4 linked regions of the Struthio camelus genome follow. The protein of the gene in region 2 purifies or fractionates together with the protein of the main gene of each other region. This does not show direct contact. Links are inferred from orthologs where the notes say so. Each region holds a gene or a part of one and is shown on either strand. Other genes may lie near its edges.

What was found.
Region 1: the proteins of PFDN4 (region 2) and PFDN1 purify together in Homo sapiens (affinity purification with mass spectrometry; 5 studies listed by BioGRID and IntAct, counting the BioPlex papers as one, with this or other methods). This does not show direct contact. The link is inferred for Struthio camelus from reciprocal best matches to the Homo sapiens genes PFDN4 and PFDN1.
Region 3: the proteins of PFDN4 (region 2) and PFDN5 purify together in Homo sapiens (affinity purification with mass spectrometry; 5 studies listed by BioGRID and IntAct, counting the BioPlex papers as one, with this or other methods). This does not show direct contact. The link is inferred for Struthio camelus from reciprocal best matches to the Homo sapiens genes PFDN4 and PFDN5.
Region 4: the proteins of PFDN4 (region 2) and PDRG1 purify together in Homo sapiens (co-immunoprecipitation; 3 studies listed by BioGRID and IntAct, counting the BioPlex papers as one, with this or other methods). This does not show direct contact. The link is inferred for Struthio camelus from reciprocal best matches to the Homo sapiens genes PFDN4 and PDRG1.

The regions. Positions count from the first base shown.
Region 1 is NC_090954.1:23,573,399-23,580,246, forward strand, and holds the start of PFDN1 (prefoldin subunit 1), read right to left. Parts: upstream 3,010-6,848; 5' UTR 2,989-3,009; coding exon 2,896-2,988; intron 2,561-2,895; coding exon 2,394-2,560; intron 1-2,393. UniProt on the Homo sapiens protein: Binds specifically to cytosolic chaperonin (c-CPN) and transfers target proteins to it. Binds to nascent polypeptide chain and promotes folding in an environment in which there are many competing pathways for nonnative proteins.
Region 2 is NC_090959.1:11,760,906-11,768,287, forward strand, and holds PFDN4 (prefoldin subunit 4), read left to right. Parts: upstream 1-4,366; 5' UTR 4,367-4,718; coding exon 4,719-4,742; intron 4,743-5,244; coding exon 5,245-5,352; intron 5,353-6,374; coding exon 6,375-6,518; intron 6,519-6,955; coding exon 6,956-7,087; 3' UTR 7,088-7,360; downstream 7,361-7,382. UniProt on the Homo sapiens protein: Binds specifically to cytosolic chaperonin (c-CPN) and transfers target proteins to it. Binds to nascent polypeptide chain and promotes folding in an environment in which there are many competing pathways for nonnative proteins.
Region 3 is NC_090969.1:1,548,832-1,555,998, forward strand, and holds PFDN5 (prefoldin subunit 5), read right to left. Parts: upstream 3,018-7,167; 5' UTR 2,916-3,017; coding exon 2,844-2,915; intron 2,066-2,843; coding exon 1,963-2,065; intron 1,524-1,962; coding exon 1,492-1,523; intron 1,026-1,491; coding exon 951-1,025; intron 823-950; coding exon 717-822; intron 621-716; coding exon 541-620; 3' UTR 292-540; downstream 1-291. Other genes in the region: ESPL1 (separin), read right to left, coding at 3,960-4,161, 4,341-4,505, 4,621-4,704, 4,800-4,912, 5,046-5,150, 5,225-5,395, 5,531-5,686, 5,791-5,913 and 4 more. UniProt on the Homo sapiens protein: Binds specifically to cytosolic chaperonin (c-CPN) and transfers target proteins to it. Binds to nascent polypeptide chain and promotes folding in an environment in which there are many competing pathways for nonnative proteins.
Region 4 is NC_090959.1:18,591,679-18,599,402, forward strand, and holds PDRG1 (p53 and DNA damage-regulated protein 1), read right to left. Parts: upstream 2,854-7,724; 5' UTR 2,777-2,853; coding exon 2,693-2,776; intron 2,070-2,692; coding exon 1,994-2,069; intron 1,832-1,993; coding exon 1,757-1,831; intron 1,379-1,756; coding exon 1,298-1,378; intron 954-1,297; coding exon 871-953; 3' UTR 504-870; downstream 1-503. UniProt on the Homo sapiens protein: May play a role in chaperone-mediated protein folding.

The sequences.
Region 1 (6,848 bases), on a different chromosome or scaffold from region 2:
CAGACTGCCCTTGAATTAGCTCCTGCTTAAATGTATCTGTAGCCTGCTTCACCAAATGCCTGAATTTCAGCAATAAATTCTCTGCTAGTGGTCAGAAGTGGTTACAGGAAGAGTCTTGTGTTCCTCGTGTGAGATCTTCACACTGGAGAGTGACCCAGAGCTTACCAGAACAGAATGCCAATTTGCGAGACATCCTTCAATGCCATGGCTAGAATAGGCAGAGCTCAGAAATACCATGATATCAAGGTAAAGAAGAAAAAACAAACAAACAAACTTCAGTGACTGAAGAGTATTTACAGCGAGAGCAATCTCTTAATCTGCATTTGCATAGTGACTGATGCAACAAAACCCATAAAGAGTCCAGCCTTTAAATGCTATCATAAGGCAAATATCTTCAGTTAGCACCCTTACCATCCCGGAGGAATAGAGAGCTGCCCAGCAGGGCCTACAGCACCCTATCTGGTCATGGAAAGGCAGGCAGAGTATGACCCCCTAAAAGACACTCACTCCAGCAACTACTGCAAACAGAAAAAGCATAAGTGGTCTAGGAAGCAAAGAAGAAAGGTGTCTCATAAGTGGAAGAGAAATAGAAAGCAGCACGATGCAATTCAGCCAGTGCAGGAACCGATACCATTTGCCACTCACATCTCATTTGCGAGCAATACTACTTTACTTCATCGTAAAGACTGATACACTCACTCTTTTAAATTAATCTGTATGATTTTTCAATACAGAAGTATTTAGCTTTAAGATTAAAATATATATTTTTGAACCTCCAAAATTATCTTCTGCTCTTAGTTTGTCTGCTGTGACTCCCACCCACCAAACAAAAAAACCAAAAAACACAATCCCTTATGAGTTGTCTTGTCACACTGCTTTGAACATTAGCGTTCTCTACACCTATAGCCTGCTCCCAGACCATATTACAGTCACTCCACCTCTTGAAAGGGGACAAAAATCTGTTTCCTTTAGAGGTACCAGTTGCTAACATCCCCACACAAACCGAACATCTAATTCAACTGCATGGAAAAATTTATTTACTGGGAGCCACACAATGCAAGTCGGAGCCATACAACGCAATTCAGAAGGATGCTGCGTGTCACACTGAGCATCTCCGTAAGTCTGGGTACAACTTCGTTTTTCCATTGGTCTCATCTGAAAACTCACAGTAAAATGCAATCTGCGTACCATTCCTCACTTCCCAGTTCCAGTTTCTGAGACTGGATCTAGAGATTTTGTGGTCAGACGGAAGGCAGACCAGGGCATTTTTGGTGAACAACTTGTTCACTGAATCAGCAAGCTGATGAAACTCACTGCATGGTTGCGCAATCACCTACTTCAACACAGAGAAGGTAGGGGAAACACAGGTGGGGAAGAAGTAGACACAATCATCCCTTTTGGCAGCAGTTACATCAGATTCAGTGTTTCACAAAACCACATCCCTAGCTAAGCATAGTCATCCCTGTTACCCAACTTGCAATGAAACAGAAAAATCACAGTACTCTCAAGTCTTGCACAAAGTTACTGTGATGTTTATTTAGTAAGCATGCATTATCAGCTTTTGAAACTGGTTTGTGTGGTCTTCTATAAGAGGCTGTTAAAGTCAAACAGAAGTGGGTTGTCAGAGTTAATCAAAACATGTTAATTCTAGTCTAAGATGTTTTGATATCCATCCAACACATCAAAGTACTACTTTCTTTACAGCTGCACAGCGACTGCAAACAAGCTTCACGCTCTCTTACAAGTCTTTAAAAAAATCTGGCCAATGGCAAGCACTGACATTCATTGACATGATATTGCATTTCTGTAGAACATTTGTGCAAGCAGAGCCCTGAGTATATGCACTGCATAAGGGCATGGGTGTTTTTGAGAGAGTTTGACGTGAACTACGTCAGGAATGGTGTACTATTCCATCACGAATGGCTACATAGGTTTGTGACATCTTCTTGCAAACACAGTTTGTCACTAGAACCCTGTTCTAGCAATCTAGCTTACAAAATTTCCAGACAGTCCAAATAAGACCATTAAGGCCAAGAGCAAAGCCAAAAAGCAAAAGCACACAAAGGCAATAAAAGTTGTAAAAAAGACTGCTGGCAACTGATGCCAAGAGATAAAGCCCAGTATGCCTCAATGGATGCACACACGCTATATTCTTCATGAAGCAGCCATACAGTAGGGAAGAATCTTTGGCCTGAGGCAGCAGCCTTAGGCCTTTTAAGTACTGAGGCAAGGAACGTCTCCCCATATGCAAGGCTACCATTATAACTGCTACCTCATTTGACTACCAGCACAAGGTAGGCACAAGGCGTCTGTGAGCTGTTTTCTCAGCAGTCTGGAAGAGTACAGCGATGAGGCCTTCCCCTACTCGCCCCACAGGCCAGTATGATACTCACATTCTCCCTACACCCTCATACATGCGGGTCTCATCCACCAGCGTCATGATCTCCGTGTCAGTGAGGTGCGCGTGCTTCTTCGTCCTGCTCAGCTGCTCGATCTGGATGTCGGCAAGCTTCACTTTCTGCTGCGTATCTATTACCTTGGCCTGGAGCTCCGTGAAGGCCTGAAGGGGGAAAGCAGGAGCGGTGAGGGGCTGAGGCCGCCCGGCCGGGGCCAGGGCCGTTCCAGGCGAGGCTGGGGCTAGGCTGGGGCTGCCAGGCCGGGGTAGAGGCCGGGAGCCCCCAGGCCGCTAAGGCTAGGCCGCCGGGGGGCCGCGGCGGGCCCCAAGCTGCCCCAAAACAGGGGACCGCGCAAAGCCCTACCCGGGAACACCCAACCGGGGCGATGGGACACTCCCCGGCCACGGAGGCGGCCAGACCCCCGCAGCGGAGGGTAGAGAGGCAGGAGAACGCGGCAGATTGCGGCCCCGGGCGGGGAGGAGGGGGAAGTCCCCGGTACCTTCTTCAGCTCCAGGTCCACGGGCGCTGCCATCTTGTCTGCCCCCGGCGCCTGCGCAGTGGGGGAGCGCGGGAGCCGCGTTGAGGTGCGCATGCGCGCGGGGAGGAGGGCTGGGAGAGGGGAGCGTGGGGAGAGGAGGAACCTGGGGGGAGGGGGGAAATGTGGGGGGAAGGGAGGAACTGGCGAGGAGGGGCGAATCCTAGGGGCAAGAGGGGATCCTGGAGTGATGGGGGCTCTAGGGAGCGCCCTGGTGTGTCCCTGGGGAGGGGGGCCCAGCAACTTCCCTGCCAGCAGCTGTGCCCTCAACCGGGGCATGGAGGGCAGACCAAGGCCTGGGGAGCCTGCATAGGCTGGGCCCCACGGCCACGGGGACACAAGGACACCCGGGGGGTCTGCAGTCTTGGTTGGCCCCGGTGCTGCCTCCTGCCCGCTGCCTGCTCTCTGTGGCAAGGACAGCCCGGGCAGGGCTGGGACTGGTAGGGGATGGCTGAGTGCAGCGGGTCTGGTGGCACCCACTGCTATGGCACCTATATGCACCTGGGGGCTGCTAACATGAGCTTGGCTCTCTGGCCAGTGGGGACACCTCAATAGGCTGGAAGGATGCCTTACTGGGCAACAGGGACTCCTTGACACCTGTCTGGGACATGCCTGCACCTCTCCAAGCAGCAGGGATGTCTCAGCAGGCCACACAGACATCTCACCAGGCCACAGCAACACCTCATCAGGCAGCATGGACACATCAGCACCTCCCCAGGCTAGGCAGATGCCTTGCCAAGCATCAGGGATGTCTCATCAGGTCACGAGGATGCCTCACAGGCAGCATGGATGGCTCGCCAGGCAGTCTGGATGCTTTAGTGAGCGGTGGGTCACCTTGCCAGGCCATGCAATTGCCTCACCTGGCTGCCTGCACTCCTCAGCAAGGCAAGTGGTAGCCTCATAGTGCAGTGAGGATGCCTTGTGAGCTCCACGGATGCCTTACTGGACAACAGAAATGCCTTGCTGAGCCACAGGGACACCTCTCCAGACAACAGAGACACCTTGCTAGGCAACAGAATGCCTCATTGTGCCATGGAGGTACCTTGCTGTACAGATGCCTCATTGCCACACAGATGCTTTACTGGGCCACATGGACACCTCACTGGTCAGCAGTGAGACCTTGTTGAGTGGTGTGCAGATGAGGTCACCCCAAAGAGCTGATCCCATTATGGGTGTTCTTGGCCATGCCAGTTCAGCAGGAAGCTGGGGTACCATGTTGGAGCAGAGAGATATGGCCTTTGTGAAGCAGAAAATGTATTGGAAGAGCAGGAAAAGAAAACCAGAGGGGATGGAGCTGCCCTTCCTATGAAGGGACTCAGCCTCTCCTGGGGACCAGGTGTGTGATTACAGTCTCCTGGGAGGCTTTGAAGCTGTTTCAAGAGGCTGTCAAGCCCTTGCAGGTACCCCTCATGGGGACAGCATGCCGGCTCTGTCATTGAACTGAGATGCCCATCTGCTGGACCCAAGGACTCATGAAGCCTGTCCATGTGTTTGACTGTTTATGCAGTGCTACGCAGCCAAGCTAAAAGTATCATGGGGCTGGCAAGGAACTGAGTCACGTCCAGAACAGAAAAATGGGAATCAAGATATCCTGGGGGGCAGGTGTTCACATGGGTGGCCATACCTTATCTATAAAGGGTTTGCCAACATCGAGGGGAAGTTTCATGTATCAGTGGGTTCCACTGGCTAAAGAGGATCTTTATTTGCCTTTCTCCAATAAACTTCATTGCTGTTTTATCTCACTGGAAGGAGCTCTTTCCCAGCTACAGGCTGCCAATAAACGCCCTATTTCCAAAGCAAGGTCTTGTTCCAATTCCCAAACATGCAGCTTGGCCAAGAGGCCTTGAATGCATGAGTCACAAGGATTACAGGCAGGGAAGGCCCTCTGGGTCAGGGGTGAAGCTCTTTGGTATAGCTGGATGGACGTTTATCCCACGCTGCCCCACTATGTCGTGCGATACACAGTTAGGTTGTGTGGTTCTCATGCCAGCCTCATCCACCATCCAGTAGACGTCTACTAACAACCCAGGCTGGCTCTGCATGGCTGCAGGGGAGGTCTGGCGGGGCTAAGGAGCCTAACAGCAGCCTAACAGCAGCCTTGTGTGACCTCCACTCCAAGGTGGCTCTGGCATTGGGTAACTCCTAAGTCCTGGTGGGCCGTACCAGTGGCTTAAACCCCATCTGTAGATGCTGCCAGATGCAAGGGCAGATGCAGACCCTGACACAACTAGGATAACTCTGCCAGCGCACAGTCGCTGTCACACAAGGGGGTGATATACAGCCGGGGGTCTCGTGTGTCTCAGGGTAGAACTGGAGCTTGTGGCTGAGCCTTCTGCTGAGCTGGCAGTTTAGATGCGATGCCAAGGAAGTGAACTAGTTCGTCAAATGATTAGCTACAACATTGCCTTTTGGTGCATAATAGTTGTGTGAGGCCATCTCTCTCTACAGAAACACAGAGAAAGGAGGTGATCTGTTACTGACAGGCTCTAGCCTGCCTGCTCCTGCCAAGCCTGCAAGAGGTCCTGCTAAGGGAAGGCTTTGTACCAGACACAGTGGAGAACGCGGGCTGCCTGTCTCATTACTCATTGAACAGGAAAGGCACCCCCAGCCAGACTCTGGGAGAGGATCCCAAAGCCAGGGGGATACAAGGGACAGATCAAAAAGCAGTAGCAGTAGCTAAAACCAGAGCCAGACTGATGCTTTATTAATAATACCTGGCAGTCAGACACAGCCCTGTCATCCAGACAGGCGTTGAGATGCTGCAGGAGGGAAGGAGGCCAGGTCATTTCACCCTCTGCAGAAAGGCAGTTGCTTCAGCAGTGAAAGTAGGAGGCATGTAAGGGCACATGGCAGCAGTCTGGGACTGGGAGGGCCAGACGATCTTGAATCCAATTAAAAGCTGAGGGGGAGGTTGAGAAGCATTGTGTCCTTGCCTGGTGGAGTTACTGAGTTAATGCTGGTGGCGTGGTGAGATCCTCAGGGGAATCCATTTCTTGCATGTGGTCAGCATGGCAGCATGGTGTTTCATGCAGAGAAAGCTGTTTCAGCTGCCTGGTGACCCCCTCAGCACTGTGCTGCCTTACTGATGCAGCCTGACTCACCCACATGCGCGCCCACTAATTAATCACCATCACTCCCTCCAGCCTGAGTTTTCCTTGGAGTTTGCCCAGCTGGGCTGGGAGAAGAGGTGAGATCATGATGAGGCTATCAGAAGTCTTTTAGGGGAAGGCAGCAAAAATTAAAATACCCAGTGTACCATTCTGTAATCTGAGGCAGGCAGGAGGCAACCTCTTTGGACACCATTAATTAAAAGCAGAATGCAAGATCCAACCTTTAGGGACAAGCAGTTCCTGTTGCAACCCACTGCACCTGCCCCAAGATGAGAACAAATCCAGGCCTCGTGCCATTTCCCTTTTCCATGCTCTGAAGACCACACGTGCTCTGAATTGATTCAACCCCAAGCCTTGGATGTAGCAGAGATATTTCTCTTCAATCCCCCTATCTAAGACCTCCAACTATTGAGACACTGATGGCTGTTGTAACCCAGTTCCTCTTGCTACTCTGCCCCACGGATCCTGGTGTATCCAACACATAACACTTCCTGCAGAGAAAAGGAAAACCTTTCACTGAATAGCAGGAAGAGTTGTAGCAGCTAATTCTATACGGCAGTGGCCTGGCCTCCTCGGGGGAGCCTGAACGTCCTGCTGCCTGAGTCATTGGCAATTTATAGCACAAAAGGCTGGAGGATGCCCAGGAGTGAACAATGATGCCTCAGCCCAGGGGATCTGCAGTGTGGTGACCCAAGCGAGCTCTTCCCTCCCATCTCAGCACAGGCAAGTGCTCTGTGATACACTGGTGCTTGCTCCAAGCCACCACGCAAGGCAGACTTCTGCCCAGCTTCCCAACTTTACATATGC
Region 2 (7,382 bases):
TATTTTTTAAGGAATACATACATATCAAGTTTTGAAATTGGCACTGGCAGTGCCCCTGTTAAAAAACAAATTGTTTCTGGCTGTACAGGTATAACTGAAGACCTAATTTCGGGTAGTGTAGCGAGCAGTTCTTATTGATGATGAACCACAAAAATAAACAAAACAAAACAAAAAAGCAAAGCTGACATTTCAATTGTAGGCCCCTCATGAACCTGAAAGGCTTCCAGTAAGGGCCAAAAAAAGTTTCGGGTAAACTGAGAGATGTTCCATCATGAGAAATATTTTCAGAACCAGATGAAGTGTGGAGTTACAGGAATATATAGCTAATATTTTGGGCCCAGGTATGTTCCCTATTGATACTGAGGTGCCAAATAGCGGTGAAGAATGGCAGGGCTGCAGAAATAGCTCTGTATCAGTTGTATACCTTTTATTTTAAGTAAAATCAGCATTGGGCAACAACTGTTCTGCTGGGCCAGAATTATGGGACTAAAGCTCTATATTTGCAGTACATCCTGCCCACAAAGGTAGAGTAAGGTCTCTTACTGTGCTTCACCATAAAGGGATTCCCCTGCCAAAGGGAATCTCCAGCTCCCATTTTAGATAGTGAGAGCCAGCAGAAACTCCCCTCAGCTTAATGGGCTCAGCTGAGGCTGCAGAACAACGTACAACGCCTTACAGTGAGGGAAAAGAGAAATTTTCTTCACAGAGGATGAAGTCTGTTGGGATGACTTGAGGAAAGTAGCTAATATGATTTACTGAGCTCTAATGCTGGATATATATGAATACAAAGGAGGATAATGTTGCTTTTGAGCAACAGGAGGGTTTTTTTTCCTTTCTTTGAAAGAACAAGGCTAAAAATCTGAAAAAAATCTGCCTTCTTTTCTTTAGAATATAAGGGAATGAAAATCTAAGAAGGGAGCCAGGATTTGTCTGGTAAATAATTAACACTCGCTTCATTAAGATCTGATATTGCCTTTTGAAAAGAATAGCACCATTAGAAGGGGATTTTTTTAAAGGTTCCCCCCCCCGCAAGCCCCTTCGTTCCACCTCATGCTGGTACAAGGGTAGCCATAGGCAAGCGGAAATAAAGCAATACATATGGCTATATAAGGTAAATATATATATATTTACAGCAGAATAAGTCTCATTGTCTAATATTAGAAATGCCAGGCTGCTACTAGAACTGCACCTATATGATGTGCAAACTGTACCCCTTGATTTACACTAGTACAATTAGAGTATTACAACTTTGTCCATCTTTTGCTAAGAGTGCTTGATCCACTTCATAAGACAAAGTCTTGACAAACCAATGATTTCTTTTGTCTCCATTAAGTTTTCTCTGTTTCTAATGCATCCTGTATTAAGAAACATTTTGGATGTGTGGTTTCAGGATGCTCAGTCACAGGGAGTTACCCTGTTCTCTGTGTAACTTGAGAGAAAAGGGTAAAGAGTTTGTGAGTCCAAAGCAAATCAGGCAAAGAGCATGGAAAGATTCTCTCCCACCGAGCTGTATTGCAAAAGACAAGTAACAAGAGGGGAAAATGTGAAAAGAACCACAAAGGAGATACAAGCCAAAGGGCGTGTGGGTTTTACACACCATGGATGGGATCCCACCAAGGTGCAAGATGAAGTTAACCACATTTGCAACAACAATGAAGAACAGTACAAGAAAGAGCAAGTCCTTTTATGCAACTGAAAGAAAAATGAGGTCACTGAGTTCAATGAGTTTATCTTACTCCACCACTAGATGTTTGCACTCGTGCACTGTTTTCACTTTTATTTACATAAGAAAAGTCTACAGTAAGTTACTCTTGGCAACAGGCTAACACCACAAATCTTGCCTGAGCATGTGGAAGAAAAAGATTTATTTTCAAAGCCTTCGAGTCATCAAATTCTTATGAAATCCACTCCTTTTCTCTTGAAGGAAATTACACTGGCTCAGACCTAACGTGTTATTCAGTTAATCCACCCATGGAAATAACCATGGTTTAGACTATACCCTTTCATAGTAGGATCTTTAAGAAGAGAGATGATAACTGACTCTATGAAGAGTAACAGAATGGCCAGAGAAATGAGAGTTTATTTCTGAGAAAAAGAGACTTATGAATTAGGATTATGTTTTCACATCCAGGGAGAACTTTTGTGATGATTTTTTTTTTCCTTAACAGGAAACAAGTCAGAATCATGCACCAAAGAAAAAATGAAAGTCAGCTTGAAGGCCATTCCGAATGTTTCCTTTTCTATTTTGTTCATCCTTCTAGACTGTCACTGGAAGCTTGAAATGAACTGTTGTTTCGAACTGAAACAGAAAAACATAACTTTTCCATCCAGAATATATCCACAGTAAGATGTTTTGACAATTTTGAAATTTTTTTCCCTCCACTCATTTTTGAGCTAGAAAGCTGCTACAGTCTTTGCCACAGGTAGATGTGACTTTCTTAAATATATTCAATAAAAAACAGTTACTGAAATGGAGCTCCCAACCAGCTCTACTACAGAACGAAGTTCAATACTTCTGAATTTTACACTCTGTGTAGAGTGAGCTCCAAGCTCATTAGTAAGAAGGCAGAAACCCAGACTTCTCATTCTTCCAGGCAGGCAGTAGGGCTGCTATGTTATTTCTATCTATGAAAGGCTGAGGGAGAATATTGTTAGTACATGTGCTAGGACTTGAATGGAGGATGCCATATTCCAGCTTTTCCTAATGAGTCCCAATTGCAGGAATTCAATAGGAAAACTTTTAAGGTATTCACCCATTCTTCTCCTGGGTTGTTGTTTTCTATTGTTCTTCATGGATCCCCTTTTCAATGGACTTTTATGAGCTACCATGGAGCATGGATTCTCTTGTGGTTCAAGCACTGGATTTTGCCTCAGGAACACTGTGTTCTAACAAAATCAAATGCTAACTCTGTTCCACTGGTTGTTTCTGTATTTCTTATTAAAATAGTTGTTGGTTAATATTCTTCAGGCATTACAAGGGAGGTGCGATGCGAGTCTGGATGGCATCACACAGAGCAGGTGAATCCGTGAGTCTCGCGTATCACGAACAAGTGTTCTGACAAGACTGTTGCAGAGAACTAGAGTGCTTTTTAAAGCACAGCTTTAGAGGAAAGGCTATAGGTTGTGCCTTCAGGAAATGGTTTTTGATCTTCGGACTCCAAACTGGTGGAGGTAATTCTCGGCAGCTCTGAGAAAAGGTTCGGCAGTTTTGGCTGCCAAGGGCTGAACGCGCTGAAACGCTGTTTCGTCGGATTTTCTTTCTAGAGCTCCGAACTCTCCCCACGCAATGAGCCAGGGACTCTAACTCAGATTTTGGAATTCCTTTCCAAAGCTAGACACTTTAAAAGTACACCTATCAGGCCTTAACTCTACCTACCCAGGTCCTTTTTTTGGTCTAACTCTAATGACCTTCGACTGCAATTCACAGGAGTGCCTAGCAGGAAGATGAATCCCAGTGAAATGCCTAAAGCTATTTCAAAGACCTTTCTGAAGCTTTCACTGCAGGTTTGTTACCTGCACACCTGACACTGGCACAAGAGCATATCCCTTGGAAATCACCGAACGTGGTGGGCAGTTCCTGTATGGAGACACGTGAAAGCTAGAGGGTCCCAGAGATAAGGTGGCTTCGGCAGACCGAGGCCAGTCACAGGCATCAAGAGGTCCCATTCGAGCCGTTCAGCAGCTGTTTTTCGTGAAAGAGGCCAGGCCGGTCTCCATCAGCGCGAAGGCTTTCGAAAACCCTGGCCGCTTGCAGCTTTTGCTTCACGTAGCGAGGGCGCGTGCCCGTCCGCCCGGGCTCCGGGCTGCGGGATCCCACCCGCGTACCCGCGGCAGCCCCACAGCCGGAGCGCGCCGGCGCCAGCCCTCTCCCCCGCAGTTGTGAAATGTTCTGATGACCTGATTTTTTTGTTTTGTTGTTGTGACATAAGCTAAATAAACTGAAGCATGTGGAGGCAATTACGCAGCGTAAATGCCAGACAGCCTCATTTCTCTTTAGAAGCGGCCAACCAGCCGTTTTGGGGGGGGGGGGGGGCAACAAATGTTTGCTTTTGCTTAAAAAGTCCCTCGGCAAGGATGTGAACTGGAAAGCCTTTTCCGCCCCCGTTTCCAGAAAGAGCAGGCTGGTTCGGTTGGCACGCCGAAGAGAAACCTTGGGCTAGTCCTTGGCGTCGCCCCGGACCCCCTGCGTGAGGCCGGGCCCGGCGCCCCGCCGTCGGGGCAGCCCCCTTCCTCGGCGGCCGCTTCGCCCCCCGCCGCCGCGGCGCCGCCATTTCAGGAGGGAGCGGCCGAGGGGCAGCGGGGGGGGGGGGGGGTCGGTGGCGGGAAGGGCCCATCCCTGAGCGGGGGCAGCGGGCGGGGGCAGGATGTGCGCAGCGGGTCCGGGTCCGGCCCCAGGCCGCCGCCCGCCGCCCGCCGCGATCCCATGGCGCCACCGCGTGGCAGCCCTCGCGGGCCGCAGCCCCGTTTTCTGTCGGTGGACTCGGCCGCCCGCGTCCCCTTTAAGCGGGACGTACCAAGCGCAGTGTGCTGGGGGGGGGAGGGGGGCATTCTGCGGCCGCTCGCGGCCGGACCCCAGCGCTGGCAGCGGTGACACCGACGAGAGAGAGCAGAGCCGCGCCGCGAGGGGTGGTCGCTGACGGGCGCCTCTTCTCGCCCTCGCTCGTCGCCGTCCCGCTCCTCCTCTTGCGAGGGGAGCGCATGGTTCAGCCCCGCCCAACATGGCCGCCACCATGAAGAAAGCGGTGAGTGGGGGACGAGGCAGCGGGGGTGGTTCCGCGGGCTCCTCGGTGGTGGGAGCGCGGCGGAGGGAGACGGCGGGGGTGGCTCCCGGGCCCCGCTGTGCCCGGCGGGTGGCAGCTCCCCTCGCTCCGGCGGCTGCCGCGGGGCGGCGGGTCCCTGCCCCGGGCCCCGGCCCGGCCCGGCGGCGCCGCTCGGCGGGCAGCTCTGAGGAGAGGCGGCGCTGGGAGCCGGGGCTGGGCGGGAGGGATCCCGGGGCACCGGTGTCCCCCGTGTCCCCAGGGAGTCCGCCCAGCTCCGCGGGAGTCTTCCTGATGTGTCCTTAAGGAGCTGTGCTAAGGAGTCAAGTGCATAACCAAAATGTAAAGACCGTAAAATCGTTTGTTTTTTCTTCACCCCCCTCCCCCTTCCAAAAGCTTTGTGGAAATAATCTTATGGTGAGATTAAAAGCAAAATCAGACTTCACGTAAAAAATGAGTTGCTCACTTTGACCTCGCTTCCTTGCAGGCTGCAGAAGATGTCAATGTCACTTTTGAGGATCAACAGAAAATTAACAAATTTGCAAGAAATACTAGCAGGATCACAGAGCTGAAAGAAGAAATAGAAGTTAAAAAGGTATTTTTTTTTTTTTCGCTACAAGGTCACTTTTTTTTTTGTTGTCCCGAATTAATTTCTGAGCTGCTGCTCAGAAAATGGACAGAAAATAGGAATTATCGATTAGCGTAAGTAATAGTTTTAGCCAGAGATTTCTGGCACTGAAGATAGCCAGAGAATATTAAGATGATAAAGCAAAGAAAGTCATAGGAAATAAAGGAAACTTGGAAGAACCACAAGTGTATTATTGCATGCAGTACTTAGAACTCCTTAGTTGTTATGTATGAAATGTTGATCATATATGAAGGCTATTTGCAGTGTTCTAAAATTTCCTAAGTTTATTCATATCTGCTTTTCTTGTACCAGTGAGGCATTCCTGCCTTTTTTCTTCTTTTGATGTGTTTATAGAGGTCATCGTTATCTGCTTAGAGATTTTCTCTTGCTGAATAGGGTACATTATGCTAATTCACTCTTCCAGTATTAATTCATTTTTCTTTAACATCGGTCACAGTATTTCCAGTGAAGTTTTAACTGTTATTTGTGAAGTGCTTACCCTGTCTCTTCTATAATTCCCTTGCCTGATACATACTGTAAAAATGTTACATTTTCGGTTTGATGTTCCCTTGGTGGCTTAAGGTGCTAGGACTCTAAGACATTCTACTTTTGTGATAAGGTTATTAACGTTTGCCGCCTTATTTGTCTTCCTGTTCTCTGGTTAAATTCAGAAATTCCTGCATAATAACGTATCAGATGTTAGTGAAATTAAATCAACTGTTTTTCACTTGTCTAACCAGTTAATTGTCCTGTTAATGAGAGTACTGACTAGAACTTTTTACTGGTAAACGCCACTGAATTTAGTACTTACTTTAAATTATGTCTCGGAAACAGCGTTATCAAACATACTGATATTGATGGGTAGGATTTTTGCCCCAAATGCGGACTCTCTCTGCATTCGTTATTCAACAGGAATAGCATGTTAATGCATCCGTTGCAGTAATACACATAGGACAAAGTGACCAACTTTCTTGTGTCTTGATAAATAGAAGCAACTTCAGAATTTGGAAGATGCCTGTGATGACCTAATGATGCTTGATGATGATGATTCACTACTGATACCCTACCAAATTGGAGATGTCTTCATTAGTCATTCCCAAGAAGAGACACAAGAGATGCTGGAGGAGGCAAAGGTTTGTGGGCAAAAAAGGAGTTGCTTTAGCACTATCTGCAGATAAGCATTGCAGTGGGATGGTGTGTTCAGTTCTGAACCTTTTACTTTCTGAATATCTTTACTATGATATCATGTAATACTGCAAGTTATACTTCCAAAGCTGGAGCCTGTTAATCAGCAAAAAGTATCAACACGGAAATATTCTCTCATTCTGATTTTAGCTTTATGCCTTGATCAATTTATTGAGGTTGGTGATAGCTGAGGCATGACTTTTCAATTTCTGGTATGTTTTATGATGTCCTATAATTATCATTGGAAAATTTGTCCTTTGACTGGCTCCGTCAAAGGAGCCTGACTTAAGGCAAAAACTTAAGGTTCCTTTGATCAATTATATGTTGCTGACAAACATGACTTGGTATGTTTTCATAATTAATTAGACATTCTTTTCTTTTCCAGAAAAGTTTACAAGAGGAAATTGAAGCATTGGAATCCCGAGTGGAATCAATTCAGAGAGTGCTGTCTGACCTGAAAGTTCAGCTCTATGCAAAGTTTGGAAATAACATAAATCTTGAGGCTGAGGACAGTTGAAGGTTTTCTAAATATATCATAATTTTTTTTTCATTATTTTAGTAAATATTTTGACAGTTCTTCTTTTCCAGCAATGTTTAAAAAAATTCTACCAGTTTCTTATTTTCTGACTTTCCTGTCTTGGGTTCCATCTATTTAATGAGAGCTTTCTTACTTTGCTTATTGCAGTTATTTATTTGTTCAGGAAAGCATTAGCGTCACTCTATTGATAAAGCATCAAGGTTGGAATATTTGCGCTGTTTATTAAAATAATAAAGTCAGGCACATATCATAGTTTCCCTGGTCTTGTTTTCAA
Region 3 (7,167 bases), on a different chromosome or scaffold from region 2:
TGCGCTGGGGGGCCGGAGGATCTTGGGAATCCCCGCTGCGAGAGCTGCGGGATCGGGAAGAGCATGATTTCCTCAGATAAGGCCGGTCTGTATCGCGTGATCTTTCGGGCTGGAGCAGGCCCCCTGTTTCGCCTGGCATGACTCCACTTTGGGAGGAGTCCCAGGTTGTTTTTCCCCCTCTTTGCGTGCCTCTCCGCCCCTGCCCAATCCTACCTCCCGCTGGCTGCAGAGGGCTGAATTCCTGCCCTTGAAACCTTCCCGGTTCGAGAAGCACCAGATGCCGCCCGGAGCTGTTCCCTGCATCTCTAATTTATTCCATACACTGGCAGCAACGCACTGCTTACAAAAAGGGAAGGGTTTGGCTGGTGCTTTGCTTCCAGGCACCGCACGTGTTTAGAGTCAACAGCAGAGCCCTGCCGAGCAGGGAGAGGAGTGTTGGGGAAGGGGGGACAAGGTGGTCTGGGCCCCAGCGGCTTTCTTCAGCAGCTCTGCTCTCGTCCCAGCAGCGATGCTGATGAAGGCAGCCCCTGAGGCCGAAGGCTACGCCTTTGTTGTCACGCCCTGCGCGGCCCCCAGGGCCGTGAGCTGCTGGATCTTCTGGCTCATCATTTCCACCACGGCTGCAGGAAGACAAGGCACCCAGGCAGTGAGGGGAGCTGCTCGGGGGCCTGCCCAGAGCGAGGAGCTGCAGCGGGGTGTGGGAGATGGGCCCTTACCCTGCTTCATGGCATGTTTCTCCTGCAGCGCAGGCTGGATCTTCTCCATCTGTTTGGTCAGGAAGTCAATCTTCCGCTTGAAAAAGTCTCGGGCATCATCTGCTGTCTGAGGGAATAAAGGATAACAGAGAGCTCTAGGCACAAAGTTCCTGCTACCCTTCGGCCACGGACAATTCTGTTTATGATCTGCTGCAGAAACGCAGCTGCTTCTGGGCCACTCCACGCACCCCTTACCTTCTCCACGTAGTAGCCTGTTCCTACATCTATCAGCACGTGCTCGACATCTGAGAGCTTCCCAGGGACATACATCTGGCGGGGGGGGGTCAAGGGAAAGCAGGGAACCAAGACAACTAGGCAGCTCTGGGAGCAAAGCACCTCAGCCCAGCAGAGCTGGGAACCGAGGCCAGGCGTCCTCGGCACAGTGGCCACCACGGACCAACGCACGACCCGAGCAGCACAGGCCCAGCATGAAGAAGCAGAGCTCGTGTCAAGAGCAACAGGGGCAAAAATCTGTCAGCCCTAAACACCCCAGCTCAGCCGCTGGCCAGAGGGAAAGGAAACATCCTGGGGTCCTTGCTCAGAGAGGAACGAGGACTGGCCAGCACCTTCCCAGGAGGCAGGGAAGGAGCAACCAGGAGAGGCCATGTCCCTCCTGAAGTGGGCACAGCCAGGTAAAACGTCCCCCAAGCCCCTCGGCCCTAGCAGTTGACATTCCCGCGTCCCCGCTAGCAAAGAAGAGTTAACTTCAGAGGACTGCAGGGCTGGCAAAGGATACAGAGCTGGTGAGCGGGACCAGCAGGTCCTTTCCTACAGGAAACAAAGCAGAAACGTGTTTGAGCGCTCGGATGCACCAGCTGATTGCCCACAGCAGGGCGAGGGGCACACAGAGCAGCTACACAGCGCCAAACAGCTAGGTACGACGTTACAACCACATCTAGCCCCTCCGTGCACCCCGCGTGCCTGGGATGCTGCTTAACGCCCAACCTCCTAGCAGGGAAGGAGGCACCACGGAAACAAGAACCTGGTCCAAGGGCATAAACTGACGCAGGGCAGAAGAAAGCGCAGAGCCTGGGCTCTCAGTCGTCACTCAAAGCACAGAGTGATGTGTCTCACCTAGGCAGCAGCCAGGACTGGCAAGGCCAGGCAGGACAACACCAGCCTCTCCAGTTGCTGCTCAGGCATCCCAGTAAGTGCCCCAGGGACCTGGCAGGGCCACGCAGGCCGAGGGTGAAGGTATCTCACTCACCTTCGTTGCTTTTGTTGAGTACATTGAGGCAGTCCTTGGCTTCCACGTACTTGGTCTGCACCACTTTGAGCTGGGCAATAGAGGACGAGAGGAACTCCACCTCCTAGGCGAGAGAGCGTGAGCCTGTGAGCGTCCCCTTACCACCAAAGAGGTGCTGAGAGAGCAGAAGAGGCCCTAATCGAGTGCCATGTACGGCAGGACAGGGCTGGGGCACGTCACCTGGTCTGGTCATCACCCCTAGGCCACCCAGCTCCCCCCCACAGCAGACCTGTGGCACAGTCTAACCTTACCCTGCCACCCCCACAGCCTAGCCCAGTCCAGTCCCACATGTCACCCCCCCAGACCACCCAGTCCAGCCCCACCATGTCACCCCCCAGCCTGGTCCAGCCCGGCCCAGTAGTCCCCACTTTGATAACCCCCAGTTCCCACAGCTCGGCCCAGTCTGGTCCCACGTGTCACCTCTCCAGTCACCCAGTCCCCATATCCCAGTCCAGCCTGACCCTATTTGGTCCCATACACCACCACCATCACCACCACCCCCGCCCCTGCAGTCCCCACAGCCTGGCCCAGTCTGGTCCCACATATCTCCCCCCAGTCCCCACACCCTAGCCCCACCTTAACGTCCCCCTGTCCCCCCAGGCTGACTCAGTCTGGTCCCATAAGTCACCCCCCAGGACCTCCAGCCTAGACCAGTCTGGTCCCACATGCGACCCCCCCAGTCCCCACAGCCCAGCACCCTCTCGCCGCCCCCTCCAGTCCCCACAGCCACATCAGGCCTCACCCCCATTTCGGCCTCTCCACCGGCCCGGCGCTCCCCCAGCCCTGTCCCCCGCCCCCAGCAGCCCCTCCAGCCGCGGAGCCCGGCTCCCGGCGCGGCCCACCTGGTCGAGCTGGCTCTTGAGCATCTCCAGCTGCGGCAGCGACAGCTCCGCCACATTCACCTGCTGCGCCATCTTGGGCCGCCCGCGACGCTCTAGCGCACGTCGCCCCGTCTCGCTGGTGCCGCCCGCCGCGACGCTCTAGCGCCAGCTGCCGCCTCTCGCTGGTGCCGCGGCGCCCCCTGGCGGCCGGCGGGGGCAACAGCCCCAGGGCAGGGGGTAGCCGGAGGGGATCATTTCCTCCCCCCCCCCCCCAAAGCAGGACAGGGGGCAGCCGGGGGGGGGTCATTCCCCCCCCCCAAAAGCAGGGAAGGAAGGAGCCAGGTTGCCCCCCCCAAGACAGGGGGGACCCAGGGGTGTTCCCCCCCCAAATAAGGATAGGCTCTATTGCAGGACCCCCACCCACTGCTCCCACCCAGGGAAAAGGGGGTTTACTGCCCCCCACCCTCCACTGGGGCTTCCAAGGTGCGAGGAAGAGGCAGGGGCTGCAGCAGCCAGGGTTGTTCCCTCTGTCCCTCACCCAGCTAGGAGGGGTGTTCCCCCCCCCCCCCAAACAAGGGAGGAGGGAAAATCCCAACTGCAGAGGCCCCAAGGAGGACAACGAGGGGTGCAGCTGCAGCAGGACCCCAAGAAGGTGCTTTGAGGTCACCCTCGGAGGGCAGAGCATGCCCCGCAAGGGACAACACAGCCCATGGGGTGGGCGATCGCTCAGAGCTGCAGTGCAACGGGCTCCTGCTTACCTGGGAGAGCTGGCTGGGGCCCGGGGAGAGGGGACAGAGGCAGAGGGAAGGGGGCAGAGCCCCACAGGGCAGCCCAGGGTGGCAGGCACCCTGAGCCTGAGCACCATCCTTAGCCAGCACACAAGGGTCAGGTCCAACTGCACCAGCTTTATTGTCTCAACATACAGCGACTGTGTCATCTAAAACCACTTTAAAATAAGTTAAGATCCAAGAACAGTTAAACATGTAACACCCCACCCCAGCTGGCCCCCTGTGCAAACACCGCAAGTTTAAAACAGCCTCAGCAGCACCTGATCATCATTGGGGGGGGGGCACAGGGAGAGAGGGGAGGGGAGGAGGGCTGGGGCCAAGAGGCAGTGGCAGAGGCAGCGCTGAGCCCTCACTGCAGGCACACAGGCAAGCCGTAGGCAACGGGGGCAGCGCCGATGAGGTACTTGAGTTTGGGAGCCTGGCGGGCCTGGGCGACAGAGTGCAGGAGCGGGGCGCCCGAGCCCGCCTTCAGCCAGCCCTGGAGCAGAGCCTCGGCGTAGCGGTCGATGTCGCGGTCCGTCACGTCCCACAGGTTGCCCAGGACGAGGGGGCTGGAAAGGAGCAAGGGGTCATGTCAGCCCCTTTGGGGTGCAGATGCGCAGGGTGGGGGGAAAACAGGACTGCTGCAGGGGCAGAGACACCCAGCTGCACGAGACGGCCCTTGTAGCAAAGGGACAAGCTGAGCTTCCCCAAGCCTCGCCCCTGCTTTCCGCATCTCCTCGCCACTCACCACCCAGCCATGATGTACTTGAGAACGATGCCAGATCCCTCCAGGCTGCCGCGCACGGCCAGGGCGGCGCTGCTGCAGCCGAAGAGCAGGGCCACGGCGCGGCACTCCAGCCTGGCGATGGACTGCCCGTCCAGGAAGCGGGCGCCTGCTCCGTGCCCGGCGTAGCTGCAGGGAGAAGGTCCAGGTGAGAGATCTGGTGAAGCCTCCCCGACCTCCCCCATCAGGCTTAAAGAGGGCCCTGGGCTGTCTCAAAGGAGCCCACGCCATCCCCAAGGCTCACATGTAGAGATCACGCTCCGAGAGCGCCGTCTGCATCTGCTCCTGGCTCGGGATGGCTCCTGTCACACCGCTCCAGCCGGGCTCGCTGCGGGAGAGACCTGGTGAGGACGGCGGAGAGCAGAGAGCCCCTGGGGCACCCCAGGCTGCAGGATCCCTGCCCGGGGCAGGGGACACGCTCACCTCTCAAACCAGCCCCGGAAACGCTCCTCGGTGCCCGGCAGGTTGTTGTGCGGGTTGAGGATGTAGAAAGTGCTGCTGGGGTTCACGCCGCGGCTCAGCACAGATCCTGCCCGCTGCCAGAGTGGGGACACGAGACAAGTCAGCCCCAGCCCGGAGCAGAACCCGCAGGGTGCCAAACCCTGCGGTGCTGCAGAGCCAGTGTGCGCAGAGCCCCGGCCCGGGGTGCACAGTCCCTGGCCCTCTCACCTTCTGCGCCAGGGAATAGCCAAGCAGGAATCGCAGGGAAGGGAGCCTGGTTACGGGCACAGCCTTCAGACACGCCATGCTCTCCCAGGGTAGCTTCTGCAGGTGCTGGGAGGAAGAGGAAGGGGTGAACAAAAGGCAGCAAGCAGCCACGCAGAGTACAGGCAGGAGCAGAGACTCACCTTATCCAGCACCAGGACAAGGGAGCCGCTGGCCTGCCTGGCGCAAGCTCTCCGCTTCTCCAGGGCTTCCTGCAAGAGGAGCTGGGCCGTGTAGGGCTGAGCTGGGCAGAGCCCAAAGGCCAGGGACTGCAAATCTTGGGCAGTGAGGAGGGGAGAGGAGTTCAGCACAACCTACAGGAAGGAAGAGGGGAGCAGAAATGCATAAACATTGACAGCACCATGCTGTAGGCTGGCACGTGATGCCAGGCTGTTTGGCTGCCCAAACTGCTGCCCCAGCCCAGGCCAACTAGGATCTCCAACACAAACCTTGAGGAGCGCTGCATCTGCGTCCTCCCAACCACATTTCTGGAGCTGGTTGCACAAGCTGGAAGCCTCCTCTGCCAGGCTGGGCTCCTGGCTGGCAGGGAGCAGGGCCCCCTTCCAACAGCCCAACACCTGCATCTCCAGGGTTTCGATGAGGTTCTGCAAGAGGCCAGAGTCACGGGGGGTCTGGGCATGGCAGCCCTCTTCAAAAGCTGTGCCAGGTGCCACCAGGCAGATCAGGGTGAGGGAAGTCTCTCCCCAACCTTCATTCTCTGGTCCAGCTCCGAGCGACACAGCCACCAGTCCCTCTTGTCCGTGCAGTTGCTGGATTCCTTCTGCTCCTTCTGAATGGCATCGAACTCGCTCAGCACCGAGCTCAGCGGGGCCTGGAAGAGGAAGGGAACAGTGATCCCAGCCCCAAACTCACCCTGCAGCTGGGCTTGTCCCCTCTCCCTTTCCTGCCCTCACCTTGGTGAGCGCAGTCGGGATCCGGATGGTCACAGGAGCGCTGCCCTTCTCCAGCCGTGTGAGCAGCAGCATGTCTCCCACGGAGGCAGGCTGGAGGCTCACCAGGGTCAGCACGCACACGGTCACCCCTGGGAACCAGACCCAGACCTCAGGAACAGCCAGGGGACAGTCCCAAGGCCACACAGCCCTCCAGGACTCAGCCCCAGACCGACACAGAGCAGTGAGCTTCCCAGCCCTTGCTTTTGGATGAGCCCTTACCACTGGGGATGTTCTCCAGCTGCTCCCTGAAGCCATCCTGCTCCTGAGGCCCCATCCCCGTGGAGCTGAACTCGAAGAGGTCTTGGAGCTGAGCGAGGTGGTGGCTGCGCACAGCAGCGCTCTCCTCCCGCAAGGAGAGCCCGTGGAGCTGCTCGGCTACGTCTGCTGCTGACTTCTTGGCTTTGCTGGAGAGGGAAAGACAGTCAGGGAATAAATCCACTTTGAAATTACCTTTGCTGGGGCTCCAAAGTTTTTGGCAGAGACCCCCCTCCTGCTCAGCAGTGCTCTAAGGTTAAAAGCAGGGGAGGCCGAGGGGGTTTTGTTCCACAAAGCCAGCCAGGGAGGGTGGAGGGACTTACTGAAGTTTCCTGTGGACCGTGCTGAGCAGCTGATGGCGGGTGGTGACCGAGACAGACTCCGACACCAGGTAGGCAGTGGAGATGGGGTCCTGCTTGCCCAGGGACAGGGCCAGGAGCTGGCAGACTTGGCTGTAGAGGGCACTGGGAGGGCAGTGGCTGATGCAGTTGAAAGCACCTTTCAGGAATTCACAGGCTTTGTCCAGGGAAGAGACATCTGGAAGGGGCAAAGCAGCAAATCCCCCCCAAGGCAGAGGTGAGCTCCTGACAGAGAGCAGAGCACCTGAACCCTTTGGCAAAGCTCAAAGCAATGGGAAATTGTAAGAGGAGGTGGAGAAGGGCTAGAGCAGAGGTTTCCAGAGCCGCCTGCCCGAGGAGCTGGTAGGAGAGGGGACAAACGTGGATTCCCCAGCACAGCCACGAGCCCCCAGCCCAAAACCAGTGCCCTGCACAGCAACAGCCCACAGAGCAGCCCCTCAGCATCGGTCGCTCACCGCCAGCCGTGGACAGGGAGGAGGAGAGGGCCTCCAGGTGCAGGGGGCCCCCGCTGCCAAGCCT
Region 4 (7,724 bases), about 6.8 Mb from region 2:
TGTTGGGGTAGCAAGTTCAGACTAATTAGGGTAGTACAGAAGATAAATTTTAAAACCTTTGAGGAAACAACTATTGGTTAAATCAATTGTCCTTTTACTACAAGACAGGCCAAGGATATGTCAGTCTTTTTTTCTTTTTTTAACACTTTATCCTTTCTTCTAGTTTTGAAAGCCTTGTTTTCCCTGTTCTCTTGCCTTCCAACTTGACAGTAGTAAATGTTTTCCCACGGAGACTAGAAGGATGCTGCCCTCTTGTATCCCTCTTCACACATTTTTTTAAAAAAGATTCCTGAAGTGTTTTTGATGTATAGTTTTACTTTGTTCTAATACCACAGGCTTACACAACTCTTCCTTTATGCTTTGGACACACTGTGGATTCACAGTTCGTTCCCTCCTACTCCTGTTCCGACACTAGAATGAACTAGCTCTGAAGCTAACTTACAGAAGATATTACGTTAAAAAAGAAAAAAACAACAACAGAACATGCACACTATTAGGAATGCTTAGTTTCTCAGATTTTAATAATCCCACTTCCACCCTAGCAATGGCAGTTTGTCAAATGCCTTGAATGAGCCTGTGTTCTAACGTTTTCCTCTGCACAGTTCCAGCGCCCAATCTTTATCCAGCAAGAAGCAGGAACAGTTTATAGTCCAAAGAAATTGCAGCGTTCTATTTGAGGAGCCAAATGCCTCCCCAAGCCTACCAGGTAAATACCACTTGAGAAAGGTTCCAGGAATACAGATGTTCTCCTAAAGAAAACCCTGGAGGTTGGCCACTGATAGAGCAGTATGAATTCCACACGTGACAGCCTAAATAATGCCTTGATAAGCAACACTATTTGCCCATGGTCATGGTGATGCCACTGCCATCTCAGCCCTCCAGTATGCGATTGATTAGTTTCATTTCCTCAGGAGTCATGGGGTTCAGATTAAATCCTTTCAGCTCAGCTTTACCTGAGAGAAAGCAAGCAGAAAATCAGGGTTTTGCTACAAAATAAGTTAAGTAGCTACAAAAGATGTTAAGTAGCCATCACTGCAAGGACTCTAGAGAAGACAGTGATAGCCCTGGAAGTTGATACAGAGTCATTGGAGTAGCTGGAAAGCCTGTTTAGTCTGCTAGTGGATGACAGCTTTGCAACAAGAGCTGCATGGTCCCACAGCGCTGCTTGAACAGGAACAGAATTGGAAAGCGAGGGAAAAGGGGGCTCTAGGAACATACAGAGCGCAGGAGCTCCTCCTGCCATGTAACATCTGCTCCTGGGTGTTCGCTGAGAAGGTTCAAGAATAAGAGCATCTACCTTGAGCTTCAAAGAGACGGTTGACCTTCACACGCAGCTCTTTCCGAAGCTTGTTTATTTCCTCATCCAAGTGCTCCTGATCTGAGAGAAGGGAGAGAGCGGTAAGGAGCTGTGGAGTTCTGTGGATGAACACAGAGCTACCCCAACTCCTGGCTGCTGCTGGGAGATATTCAGGGTCGAAGCCTGAGCATGGGGTGACAGGAGAGGATGCTTGTGAGCTTCATTCTCCTTGCAACCTCGAGCACGCAGGCTTGTTGCATGTTCTCTGCAGCCTATAGAAAAAGTTCACTTTCTACCAAAACGTGCCTCCCTGCGATGCTCTGTCCAGGACAGCAGAACACGAGGAATGCCAAGAATCTCTATTTTTAACTACAGTCAGAAGGTTTTGTGTGCTTCAAAGCCCAGGACTAGACAGAAGCTTGAACGTACAAAAAAGGACACTCCAGAAGTCTGTCTTACCTTTCTGCATCATCTCCTTAGTCTTTGATTTTGGCAGCTCAATGAACATGTTTCCAAAGCAGACCATTGCTTTATCTGAGGAGGGGGAAAAAGAAGGTCCTTGTGGACACCAATTTTTTTCTTCCTAATATAAAACTATTCCTTTGCACAAGTAGGCTCATGCAGGCCTGGTACCAGGGCCGGGCGTGGGGCGGCCTGGCTCGAGGTAACGGCACACCGGGGCACCCCGGGCCTCACCGTCCGGGTCGGGGTCCTTGTGCAGAGCCCGCAGCGCCTCGCGGTTCCGGTTCCGCTTCACGTCCAGGTCCACGATCTGCAGCGGGAACGGTACGGCTGCAGCGGGGGTCACCCCGGGGGAGCCGCTGCGAGAACGGGGGTCACCGGCGCAGCTGCGGGGGGCGGAAGGGGCGACTGCGGGACGGATGGGGGAACGCAGGGGTTCCCAGAGGGTGCAAGGGGTGACCGAAGGGGTGACCGGGGGCTGGACGAGGGGACCCGGAGGCGGATGGGGGCTGGAAGGTTAGCGGGGCTGAGCGGGTGAGGGCTGCAGGGGCCGTGGCCCAAGGAGACGGGGGGGCCACAGGGGGAAGCAGGAGGAGCTGGGGGGGCCTGGAAGGGTCCGGGAGGGATGCAGGGGGCACCAGGAGGAGGCGGGGGGGGGGATCGGGGCGCACCAGCAGGAGCCGGGGGGCACCAGGAAGGTGCGATGCGGCCACAGAGGGCACCAGGAGAAGCCGGGGGGCTAGGGGGGGCGGAGGGGCCCAGAAGGGTCTGGGGGGCCGCAGGGGGGCACCGCGAGGGGCCGGGGGGGAGCACCGGGGGGGGCGCGGAAGGGGCCTGGGGGGGGCGGGGGGGCGCGGAAGGGGCCGGGAGGCGGCGGGAGGGGCCGCAGGGGGCCGGGGGGGCGCCGGCGGGGCCGGGGGGGCGGTAGCGCACCTGCTGCCGCGCCGCCAGCACGTCCTCGGCCAGCTCCTCCACCTCGGCCAGGTAGCGCAGCACGAAGGCCGGGTCCCGCGCCATGGCGGCCCCGGGGCGAGGCCGGGCCGGGCCCGGTCCGCCGCGCTCCCCGCCGGGCGGCAGCCGCGGCCGCGCACGCAGGTTCCGGGGCGAGAGGCGCCGCCCCGCGGCCGGCACCGGCACCGGCACCGGGGGCAGCGGGACGCTGCGGGGCCCGGCCCGGCCCGGCCCGGCTCGCTCCAGCGCACTGCAGCCGGCAGCGCCTGGCTGCGCCGCCGGGGCGGCCGTCCCTGTCGCCATGCCTGTCCCCAACCTGTCCCCATCCCCGTCCCCATCCCCATCCGGTCCCCATCCCTGTCCTTGTCCCCATCCCCATCCATGTCCCCATCCCGTCCCCATCCCATCCCTGTCCCCGTCCCCGTCCCCATCCCGTCCCCATCCCTGTCCTTGTCCCCATCCCCATCCCGTCCCCATCCCATCCCTGTCCCCATCCCTGTCCCCATCCCGTCCCCATCCCTGTCCTTGTCCCCATCCCCATCTCTATCCCCATCCCATCCCTGTCCCCTTTCCTGTCCCCATCCCTGTCCCCATCCCCATCCCGTCCCCATCCCTGTCCTTGTCCCCATCCCTGTCCTTGTAACCGTCCCCATCCCTGTCCCCATCCCCATTCCCGTCCCCATCCCCATCCCGTCCCCATCCCTGTCCTTGTCCCCATTCCCATCCCCTTCCCGTCCCCATCCCTGTCCTTGTCCCCATCCCCATCCCTGTCCTTGTCCCCATCCCGTCCCCATCCCTGTCCTTGTCCCCATCCCCATCCCCTTCCCAGCCCCATCCCTGTCCTTGTCCCCATCCCCATCCCTGTCCCCATCCCGTCCCCATCCCGTCCCCATCCCTGTCCTTGTCCCCATCCCCATCTCTACCCCCATCCCATCCCTGTCCCCTTTCCTGTCCCCATCCCATCCCCATCCCCATCCCTGTCCCCATCCCTGTCCTTGTCCCCATCCCCATCCCTGTCCCCATCCCCATCCCATCCCTGTCCCCATCCCTGTCCCCATCCCTATCCCCATCCCTGTCCTTGTCCCCATCCCCATCCCCATCCCCTTCTCATTTCTATCCCCATCCCATCCCTGTCCCCTTTCCTGTCCCCATCCCGTCCCCATCCCCATCCCATCCCCATCCCCATCCCCGTCCCCATCTCTGTCCTTGTCCCCATCCCCATCCCCATCCCTGTCCCCTTTCCTGTCCCCATCCCGTCCCTGTCCCCATCCCCATCCCATCCCCATCCCCATCCCTGTCCTTGTCCCCATCTCCATCCCCTTCCCCTTCCCATCTCTATCCCCATCCCATCCCTGTCCCCTTTCCTGTCCCCATCCCATCCCCATCCCCATCCCCGTCCCCATCCCTGTCCCCATCCCTGTCCCCATCCCATCCCTGTCCCCATCCCTGTCCCTGTCCCCATCCCTGTCCCCATCCCGTCCCCATCCCTGTCCTTGTCCCCATCCCCTTCCCATCTCTATCCCCATCCCATCCCTGTCCCCTTTCCTGTCTCCATCCCTATCCCTATCCCATCCCCATCCCCATCCCTGTCCTCATCCCCATCCTCATCCCCATCCCCGACCTCATCCCCATCCCCATCTCCATCCCCTTCCTATCTCTATCCCTATCCCATCCCTGTCCCTTTCCCCCTTTTCCTGTCCCCATCCCTGTCCCTATCCCTATCCTCATCCCCATCCCCCTCCCTGTCCCTGTCCCCATCCCCGTCCCATTGGGCACAGCCATGTCTGCGCTGCCAGGCCCAAGAGCTGCTGGCAGGAGCCGGGGCTGGTGGTGGCTTTGAGCCTTTTGGAGGGGGGAGGCCGGGCACCGGGCCCGAGAGGGGTCACAGCACCGGCACCGGCGCCTCGCGTCAGCCCTCGGGGCGCAGCGCCCGCCTGCCGCCCTCGCTGGCCGTCTCCCCTCGGTGGCCTGTTTGCCGCGGCGGTGGCAGCTGAGGAGCCGGGGAGGTCTTGTGGCGGTGAGTAAACTCCATTAGCGTAATTAAAGAGGAGCTCTCGTTGATGAGAGGCATCATACTGCACACAGGCAGGAAAGGCGAGGGCCCGGGCTTCGCCGGGCTGTGCTCTGCCGGGTCTCCGGGCGGTTGTTGCTTCGCCCTGAGAAGCGATTTCCCCCACGGAAGCGCTCGGGGTCACGCGGCATCGCGCAGCTCCGGCGCCCGGCTCGGGGTCGCTGGCGGGAAAGGGCTTTGTCACAGGAAACAGTGTGGAATTTGGCTCGTGTTTGAATGCACTTGTGCAAGAGTACTTTATTTGTGCAGTTAGGTGATGTCACCGCGTTTGAATTCCCTCGAGCAGGGCCACGTCTCCCAGCAGCTGGGGGACGCACCGGCGAACGGGAGCAAGGCCAGGCACGGCCGGGGCCGGCGGGCGCCCGCAGGAGCTCAGCCTGCCGCAGCCGCTGGCAGCAACCTCGTCTCATGCCACGTTGCAGCCAAACGCGGAGCTCTGCAGTGCTTGCATCCCTCCCGGGATGAGGGAAAGGGTCACAGCTCATTCACTTGGATTTCCAAGAGCTTTTGGCGAGGTTCTTAACAAGATGCTGTCAAAACAAAATGGATTGCCTCGGGGTAAAGAGGTAACGTCCCGTTGGGGTTTGAAAACTAGATAAGCTATAGGGTTGTAATTAGTGACACTTGGCGTGCAGAAGAAAGGCTTAATCGCGAGAAAGTGTGTATGGAATTAATCTGGCATGAGTGTGATGGGTTTGGTGGAGGAGGTGAAAAGTGGAATCACATTTTCTGATGGCCGTTTCGTCCTTGACAGCGTGTGAGGGATTGCGAGTGCCCCAGAGTGACCTACAGCAGCGGCCGATGTCACAGCAGCACGTGACACTGCCCGTGTCCCCCTCTCCTGCGCTGGCATCAATCGCAGGGTTTGCTGCCATCACCCGTGAGCACCCAATTAATTTACACACGCACACCCAATACGTTTGTGCGTGAACAAACGTATTTAGTTCCTGCATGAGCACCCAATTAATTTACGCCTGTGCATCCAGCCAGCTCACACGTGAGCAGCCGGTTAGCACCACGCCGGCGCGGGACAGCCCTGAGGCCAGCGGGCCACAGACAGCGCCCTGTGCCACGGCAGGCGCACTGAGGAGCCTGGAGCGGGGGCAAGCCAGCCGGAGGCACGGAGGAGCGGCAGGCGGAAGCGTTTCGCACACAGCTGCAGTCTCGCGCGCCGCCCTCGCCTCGCCGGAGCACCTGGGATGGACCGAGTGCAACCCCAGCGAAAACAAGGCAAGCCGAGGCCAGGAAGGGGGGAAGAGAGGTGACGGGCTTAATCTGAGGGGGAGGAAAGGGGTTTCCCTATGTGTTTGTTTAATTGTTTATGTTTCCTTTTTTCTCAATACCCAAATTAATGATTAGAAGTTTGTGTTAATTGGCAATAAATTAAGTACAAGCTGTCCCAGTCGAGATTGCTTTGCCCATGGCGCTCCCCACGGTTAACTCTGAACACCAGGACCGAAGCAGCAGAGACCTTGCGGGAACCTGGTTGGCAGCAGCCGCCGTTTCCCTGCGCTTCGGGTGGAGAACAGACAAGTCTGAAGGGAAAGGTGTCTCTCTTTAACCTCTGCCAGGCTGCTGTCAGACTGTGGATCCACCTTGCAGCCAGACATAGCAGTTAGTTACTTTTAATGGCAGTGGTGGAAAAGATAAATCTGTGTCCATGGGATTTCAGTTATCCCATTGCAAATCGAGTTGGTCTAGACTGAGCTGCTGAGTGGCGCTGTGTATCGAAGCGGGTGGCTTTGCCTGCAGGCCTGGAAGGACTCTGGGAAACAAACCTCACCAGCATCTCAGTAACAGGTAGTGAGTGGCCGTAAGCAGGGAGGGAAGTGCCAGCTGCGGGCAGCAGCCGCGGTGGCCCGGGACCAGCAGTGGACCCCGGTTCAAGGATTTGGCCTGGACAATGGTTTGAGGTCCCCTTGGCCTTCAAGGTGCTGAGATTTTCAGATACATCTCCAGCCCTTTGGAGACTCCTGGCTCAGCAGGGCAGAGCATCCCCCTGCAGCAGAGCTGGCGCTGGGCACCGGCACCTCTGCCCCGGGGCACCGGCATCCTGAGTGGGACCTACTGCCGGCTGGGGGCTGGGCAGAGCAAGGGCCGTGCACGATGCATCTGCACCCAGATCCCCCCCAGCCCCACTCTTGCTCAGGCACGGAGGTGCCTCTCAGATGAAAGCCCTCTGCTCCTCCGTATGTCTCTGCGCATGTGAATAATTTATGCTTTGTCATAAACAATCCCTCTTTCCCCCTCCTCCCGTCCTCCTCCCCTCCCAGCAGCATGCACTTGTGTTTGCTTTTTCTTGCTGCTTTCTAACAATGTGCCCATGTCAGGCAGATGGGCTCATTAATAGCATCAGGTTGCCTTTACTTTCCTTTTTTTCCCCCCAGTATGTAATAAAGAGCATTAAAAGCGCAGAGGCAATGAGATCAGATTTCATTTTCTGCAGCTAGGTGGCTCTTCCGGAGCTCAGCCGGCGAGGGCCTGCGGGTCGCAGCGGGAGAACCGGATCCGGCAGGGCCAGCTCGGCCCGGCGGGGCCTCCCTTCCTGCCCTCGGACCGTCCGGGGCCCCGGAGGGCTGCAGCGCAGAGTGGGAACCCCAAGGCGAAGCCGTCCGGCCCCAGCAGGGCGGGAGCGCGCTGCAGGCGTGCGGGGCTCAGGGGCTCTCCAGGAGCTGCTCTCTGCAGCTTCTTTCATTTTAAAATTCACACGATCACTCTGGCTGGTGTGGCCCCTCGCAGAGGCTGTGTTCTCCAGCGTTAAAATGCTGCAGGTGACCCCGGGAAGTGCGAAGCGGCTATAAATGCTCTCCCAGGCCCCAGTGTCAACTTCCCGAGCTGCTCCTCAGGCGCTGCTGCTCCAAATGACCCTGTTTACAGGAAGGAGGAAATATCTCACATCAAAGTGGCTTTTAGTCACTTTTCTTTCCAACCCCCGTGGTTTGT